2 linked regions of the Drosophila melanogaster genome follow. The protein of the gene in region 1 interacts with the protein of each later gene in a biochemical or structural test. Each region holds a gene or a part of one and is shown in the gene's direction. Other genes may lie near its edges.

Region 1 (4,138 bases):
AAAACAAACAGAAAACCTGACAACGCCGCTGTCGCTGCCTCTGCTGTCGTCGCGGTCGACGTCGTTCTCTGTCCATGTCGACGTTGGCAGATTTTCCCGGATTGGTTCCCTATTCTCGGCTTCACTGGCATATAAGCCTGGCCAATAGCAAAGCTCTGCCGCACATCCTTCTGTTATTGGATCCCGAAGCAAACTTCGTTTTTTCCTTCGCTTCGGAGCTTCGGATGACTTGTTGCTTTCCAAAAATAGTCACTGGCTGCACGGGGCGTATACTCGATATTCCCAGAATTGACCCGCCTGGGTAAAACAGGTGACTGAAGTTCGCTCTACCACATGGTCCATGGTTATGCCAATTGATGGGTTTTCAGGGCTGACTGGGTTTCTCAAATGCAAAAAAAAAAGAGTTTTGTTTAACCGAAGAATAGCACAAGGCTGAAAAAAGGTGGGCGACTTAACAAGTTTAACAAGTAGAAAAATGGCGAGGATATTCTTGGAATTCTTTTGAATTGGTTTAACGAAAGATGGAACCTTACAAATTGAATAAGTCTTATATATTTTATTTATTTTATATATTTCTTTATTTATATATTTCTTAAATAATCCATGTAATTGTAATTCAGTTTATTTGCATTTTTATCAGAAATGTGTTTTTATATTTTATCTCAAATTGCTTACTGCTCTGATTCATAGTTATAAAATCTTCGATGATCATTGGGTAAGTATTGAGTGTATTATACAAAACTTCTAAGAAAATTTACCGGACCTATGCCAACAGAGAGCAATTATTATAATTATTTAAACTTGATTAAGCCCTCGAATAGTTTGAATACTTTTTGAAATTTCCAAGAAAAACGGCGACCTACGGCAATAGTTTAGCGCCTTCGATAGAATGCAGATTAAGTATACGCTCCGTTGCAGCTACTACGTCGTTTCATTGGGTTTTCGCCCAGAGTGTTAAGCACTCAGCTTCAGACCCCCCCCCCCCACCACTCTGCCCCATCGGATCTACTTACTGGGAATGACGCAGCGGTAATTAGTTGGTGGCACAGAGGCAATCCTTTGGAGCACATTACGCATACGTCACGTGTTGCAGACGCACCAGTGCCGAATTAACCGAATATTGGCACGGCAATTGGCCAATCGGCCACGCACTCCAGCTGATGTGTAAAGTCTAGTGGCCATAGGTACACCCGTTACAGGGGGACAGACATAGCGCTCTATTGCGAATCGACTGGAAACTTTTGAGTTGCATTCGTATCTCTATTTGTCACCCTATCGGTACGTGTATCTTTGAGTGCGCTTGTCGTTCAACGTGCACTCTCATTCTCTCTGTCGCTCTCTCTCAATTAATTTGCGTATGTGTGTGTGCCCGGTGTGTCCGCAACACGTGCTTAGAACTGTGCTAGACAGTGGGCTTTGGGTCATATTGAAATCCGCGTGACTTGGCCGCAGCAGCGCTCAGCGCCTCAGCGGGCGTCGCAGTTCCAGTCCCCCAAGTATATACAAATAACTACAGCTATGTCCAAGATAATAGCAATCATTTAAGAGCAAGAAAAAAATGTTTTAAAATAATAAATTTTGTTACTAGAATATTATAAGTAATGTTGAAATAACTGAGATAAAACAAAGTTGCTTTAAAAAAAAATATTATTAAGTTCTTGATAGATAATTAGATATAAGAAGATAACATAGGTTTAGTCCTAAGTGAATTATAATTTATAATAGATTTGATACTAAATCTGAGTCGAAGTACTCGTATATGAACACTGTTTAATATATACCAAGAACTGTACTAAAAATACCTATGGCACTTGAATTGATTAATATAGTAGTAATGCTAATCATTTTCCCAGTGCTGTATGTAAAAATATTTGTTGTACATGTACAAATATTTTGCGCTACCAACATTTGATAAAAAAAAGCCAGTTAAACAATTATCAAAGTAGGAGAGGGGTTACTGTTTTCGGACCTCCGCCCTTTACGTAAGCCGACTTACTTGCAGAAAATTGCAATTTTTAGCTGGCTGAGAGAGCGGTAGCGGCGACTGCGACGTCGACTGCAGCGACGACTGCAGCGGCGGCAGAGGAAAAGCAGAGACGGACATTGAGACCGAGAAAATTACTCGGCCGGCATTCTGTCGCATCGCGTTCTCATGTGAAAATCGTCGCAGCTCGTTCCGTGTTTTCGCCACTCGAGCGGGAAAATCAAAAAATATTTCTACGCTCAACAAAATAAATTAATTGAAATTGATTTTTCAAGCAACAGAAATAGTTCTAGAAGAACTATAAATCGAGGAAGTCATTTTTGTTTTATCAAATTTCAAGTGCAATGGGTTCATTGTGAAATCAATCTAAAGTGTGTGTGTGTGTGTCATTCGAATAATTACTATTATTAAAAAAGAAATAAATACGCAGAAAGAGAGAGAGAGATCGAACGAGGCAGAGTGAAAGAGAGAGATAGAGAAAAAAGCGAGAGATCCGGAGATCTCTCGAGAATCTTTAAACAACAGCGCTAAAGTTACGGATCTAATTTCAAACAGTTTAATTTACTTTTAATTTTTCTACAAAACAACAAACTTCAAAAAGAAAAATACGAACCAGCAAAACTCAAAGCAAAAAACGATCTCATATCCAAGCGCAGCAACAAATTCTGAGAATAAGAAAAGGTATTCAACAAAAGGCTGAAAGGAAGAAGAGTTATTCATCAATGAAAAGGATAATTCAATTGATTTGGAAAATAATAATTTATTTGTTTTGATTTATATATAGAAAATATTCCAAATTTACGTTGAAATAATGTTAAAAAAAAAAAAACATTGGAAGCCTTTGACTCGGTTGATTTGATATACAGTTTAATTGGCAAATAATTATTAGTTTGTCTCGTTTTAAAAGTGAAGCAAAAACAATAAATGACCGTGAATGTTTTGATTGCAAAAATTCCATAAAGAACACGGAAAGCCTTTGTACCTATTGATTCCACTTTAAGATTTCTATAGCGTCACAAAAATCTTATTATACAAAATTGATTGAACTAAAAGAAAGCGCAAACTATACAACTATACAATGCCTTTTCTTATTCCTTATCATCATGATCATCAATAAAAACTAATGGAAAACTAAATAAAAATCATACAAAAATAGACGAAAACAAAGTGCATTCCCTGACCACACGAAAACAAGCGCATTCATTATCAGTTGCTATCAAAATCGCTTCCCCATCATACTCAATACTCACTAATAAAACTGAAAAACTGAATCATTCCCAACATTTTTCACCCACCTATCACCTGTTCATTAGCAACAACGAATTGGCTATCAATTGACTGGCAAATAAAAAACCAGCAACATACCAAAGTGCTCAAACACTAATCTGGGTTTTTCAAAAACAAAAGCACAATATTTTTTTCAGATAACACAGACAAGCGTTTATGTTAAAAACAAAAAAACTAAAGTGAACCCAAGTGTAAAGACAATGCGCACAACTTTTGGCCGTGGCCCAAAGTTTATACTGCTGACCAGCAAATTTAATCACGTTCAGCACAAGGAGGTGATCACCTAGGATCATCAGAAAACAGTGATTAACCGTAACCAGTGAAGGATAACCCAGTGAATAACGTACCCAGTTGTTGAAACCAGTGATCATGTCGTCGGATACGAATTCGTGTACTAGTTTCTTTGCCCAGGAGCACGCGAATGCCACATTGTCGCAGTATTTCCAGCAGCTTAACTCGCACGTTGCTGCTGCAGCGGCGGGCAATAGCGGTGGCAACAGCAGCAGCAGCAACAACAACAACAGCAGCGGCAACAACAGCAGCAGCGGCAACAGCGACAGCGGAAATGATGGCAGCATGACAGGATCATCGGGAACCATGGACAACCATCGCAGCAGTGTTAGCAGCAATGATTCGGGCAAGAGTAGCGCCACAGGAGGCGGCGGGGCAGGTGCCACCAGCAACAATGGCGTGAATGCCTGGGCCTTGCAGCAGCAGCAACAAACCGCCGCCCTGCACCATCAGCAACAGCAGCAGCATCAACAGCAGCAGCAACACCAACAGCACCTACAGCAACACCATCAAGCGCACCATCAGCATGTCCTGCAGCAGCAGCAGCAGCAGCAACAGCAGCACTCCCAGCATCAG
Region 2 (3,600 bases), on another chromosome or scaffold:
TTTTAACTGCTGCGTTAGAAGCAGAAGCCCAGGGGCGTCGTGCAAAAGGGGGCGGGGCAGTGGGAGCCGCGAGGAGCTGGAAGCGCCCAGATATGCGACATGTGTTGCGGAAATATTTTGCGAGCAAGAAAAGCAGCAAGGCGCAGAGTCAGGAAATATGCAAAAATACAAAAGGGCACTGCAAAAAAATGAGTGATTAAAGTTTTTCAAATATTATTCAAAACCAGTACCAGAGGCAGCTAAGTCTGTCGTCTGATTCGTATTTTTATTTAAAGAATAATATCAAAAACAAGTTTATATTGCGTGTTAAAAAAAAATACAACAAAATTAGGAAATAAATTGTCTTAGTATCCCAATAATGTGGCATACTTTTTTACAGTGTTCTTTGAATGGATCATTTACATACACGCGTCTCGCTCGGTTTTTATTGCTTCGCACCTACATATTTGGTTTACTTTTTTCGTTATTTATTTGTTGGTAGTTGACCATCGGTCGAAATAACGACGATTTTCATTCGTCGGCGATCGCACGTCTTTGCGTGTGTGAGTGGGAAAGATATGCTTTGAATTAGTGTGTGTGTGTGAGCGGTTAAACGAGTTGTTTTCTCGTTTTACTTGTTGTATCTTCAATTGCCTCGTTGGATTGCTTTGTTTTCTCTTTTTCCCAGCCAATGGGAGACAAAGGCGGGTTTTTACGAAGATCTTGAACGATTCACCAATAAATTGAAAATGGAGATTTCTATAGTTGCATAAAAAAAATGCATTCTGGCTAATGTATATAAATACAGCAATGGAAAATTAAAATCGTAGGCAAGTGCAATTAATGTGATTTATTTTGTCTATATTTCATTTTAAATTGCCAGCCCCAATATCGAATCGTTACACTCTTTTCACCCCTTTTTTTGTTATCATTTTCGAGTGATTGCTTATCTACCCTACCCCCACTTAAAAAGAAACACACCTTGGCACATACTCCCAAAAAAAAAAAAACACATTTTCTCATATATGCATACATAACTGGATCTGCTTCCTTTTTTTATGTCATCGTTTCTTGGGTTACACAGCCGGAAAATGCACGATGTGAGGGTAAATGGGGAAAGCGGTTGGGCGGACTAATGGAATTCACACGTGTTTTGCTTTATTCGTATTGCTGCAATAAAAGTATACGTTTCAGGTATTTCGATACATCTGTGTAACATCAAAATTGGCATGCTACCTATAACTGCAAGACATGCCAATGAAATCCATTTTCAATTTCTATTTACACGAGAATTTGGAGCACAAGCCTGTAAAAAGAGTTAACAACTTTTCTTAAGAACATTGCAAATTAAGACATAAATTTTATTTACATATTATTGAGTTATCAAATTTGTATATTAGTATAAATATCATTTCAGAATGATTTTTTTTTTTTTGTATTGTTTATTGTATTCTCTTTGAAAATAAAATTAAGCAGATGGGCCTTTGAATGCATAATTCAAAAACTTTCAATAACTTTAGATATTTTCAATTGCATTTCTGAAATAAGGCGCCACCTTTTGTTTCGGGCGCCACCTGGATACCACTTTCGCCAACTCATCCGCTAGGTGGCGCAGCTCAAAAATATTTTTCGTCCATCTGGCAGCACTGGGTCTATGTAAGAACTAGTGTGCCCATATAACAAAAACAGCGTTGTCAACTTGGCTATTTCACAGCTTTCCAGTTACTCGAACTTTGAACTTATGGCTAGCTGCAAGGATATAATTTCGTTTTTCTTTTGATTTTCCAATACTCTTGCGCTATTTTCTTAATGTGGTACTTCGAAACCAACTTTGGACTATCTTAACTTAGTATATGAATCACAGTTTTTCACAATTACATATCTTCTAGACATTCGCTGAGGAGTAAATACCAGATGGTAATTTTCTTCATTATCGGCGCGGTCACACTGCGAATATCAAGATGGCGTAAATTTGTAAAAAATCGTCGAAATCTATGTGAAATAGCCAGAAAAATTGAAACGAAAGCGCAGCGTTGATGCAAAACGTAAGTGGTCAGTAGCGTTTCGGATCGACAGACCCGTTTGCGAGCGAAAAAGCGGCGGTTACCACGCGCAGGAAAACTCGAATTTCCCAACAGCATTTCAGTGCTCATTGAGAGTGCGAGTGTGTGAGTGAGTGCCCTCGTCTTTGTGTTGGTGTGAAAATGCTGAAGCAGGAGGGATAGCAACGTGCTCGCGGTAGAAACCGTGCGAGTGCGGGCGGGACGACTAGTGTGCACGAATCTATTGCCAGGGCAAACGACTCGCATAAGTTTGGTTTTTTTAATAAGAGTCCGAGTTCCGTTTGGTTTCGTTTAATTTTCTCGAGTTGATTGGCAACAAGATGCTAATCAATGTGGCCATAAAATCAGAGAAGAACAGCATAACCGACTCGAAGATAAACGATAAAAATAACTGAAATATGGCAGCAATGCAGTATTATTAAAATTATTGCATAAAATGCGCTTGCGTGTGGCCCCAAAAAGTGCGACTGTGTGCGTGTGTTTGTGTGCGACTGTGGCAACTACAACAAAAACAACGTCTGGGCTCTAAAACAAAGAAAATGAAAATTATTGTGGCAGAATCAATCCAATTAAAAAATTCGATTTCGATTTCAGTCGAATTAGAAGAAGGAAAAGCAGCGTCGCCAGCAGAGGAAGTGGGCAAAGCGGAATAGGAAACAAGGAATATAAGAAAAACAAGCCACGGTAAGTGCGGAATTTGTTCCACTGTGCGTTCAAGTTTCCCTTCTCCACCCGCTATCGGCTGCTCCTTATCAGCCCCGTTATTCGCAGTGCATTCGTGGAGTGCCGTTAGTTTTCGGAGGCCATTAGCGTTTGACAATTAATTGCAAGTTTCCTTCCCCTTCTGAGGTTTCCCCGTTGGTTTTGCTCTGGTTTTTGGTTTTTCCATTTGCTCTTCCCTGTTTACTTAAGCTTTTTACTTTTGTGGCGCCTGCTGGAACAACTGTTTTTTGTATCTTCTTTGTTCTCCAGTGCGTTTTTTTGCGGAAGCTTTTCGGCAGCCGCCAACGCAACGTGCAGCTGTTTTGCAATTGTAATCAATTCGTGTTTACCCGCTGGTCCGAAACAACTGCTGGATACCCTGGGAAATATTTAGTTACCAATAGGAAAGACCGCGTTTTCCCTGCTAGCCTTCCAGTAAACAAATTAAAGCTCCTAAAATTAATACCACATTTCAATTTGACTTACAGTGCTTATACAGTGATTTCTTTCTGTGTAGAACATGGGAGATACAAATAAAAAACGGTACATTTCGGTTAAATAAATCAAAGCCAAGGCGAAAACAACAACAAACACAGGCAGGTTTTGAGGTTAGAACCGCAGAGTGAGTGATAAAGAGTCGGGAAAAGGAGGAGAGAGAGAGAGAGAGAAAGAGAGAGAGCGATCGAAATGCGTGAGCGGTAAAAGAAAGCGCACAGAATGTGGGAAAGAGGAGTGGGAAGGGGTTAGTGAGTGAGAGCCGCCGAAAACAATTAAACTAAATTTTTGTGATATTTGACCGGCAAGTGAAAACTTTCGGCTTGTTGCTTCGTTTTCTGACTTCCATGCGCTTTATCTT

What was found.
Region 2: of the proteins of Pdp1 (region 1) and dco, one has a biochemical effect on the other in vitro, tested with the Drosophila melanogaster proteins (one study listed by BioGRID).

What each region holds. Positions count from the first base shown.
Region 1 is NT_037436.4:7,831,081-7,835,218, reverse strand, and holds the start of Pdp1 (PAR-domain protein 1), read left to right. Parts: upstream 1-2,145; 5' UTR 2,146-2,665; intron 2,666-3,391; 5' UTR 3,392-3,640; coding exon 3,641-4,138.
Region 2 is NT_033777.3:31,059,501-31,063,100, reverse strand, and holds the start of dco (discs overgrown), read left to right. Parts: upstream 1-1,890; 5' UTR 1,891-2,024; exon of another isoform or gene 2,025-2,636; 5' UTR 2,637-2,726; intron 2,727-3,600. UniProt on the Drosophila melanogaster protein: Serine/threonine-protein kinase which is involved in the circadian rhythm pathway, viability and planar cell polarity.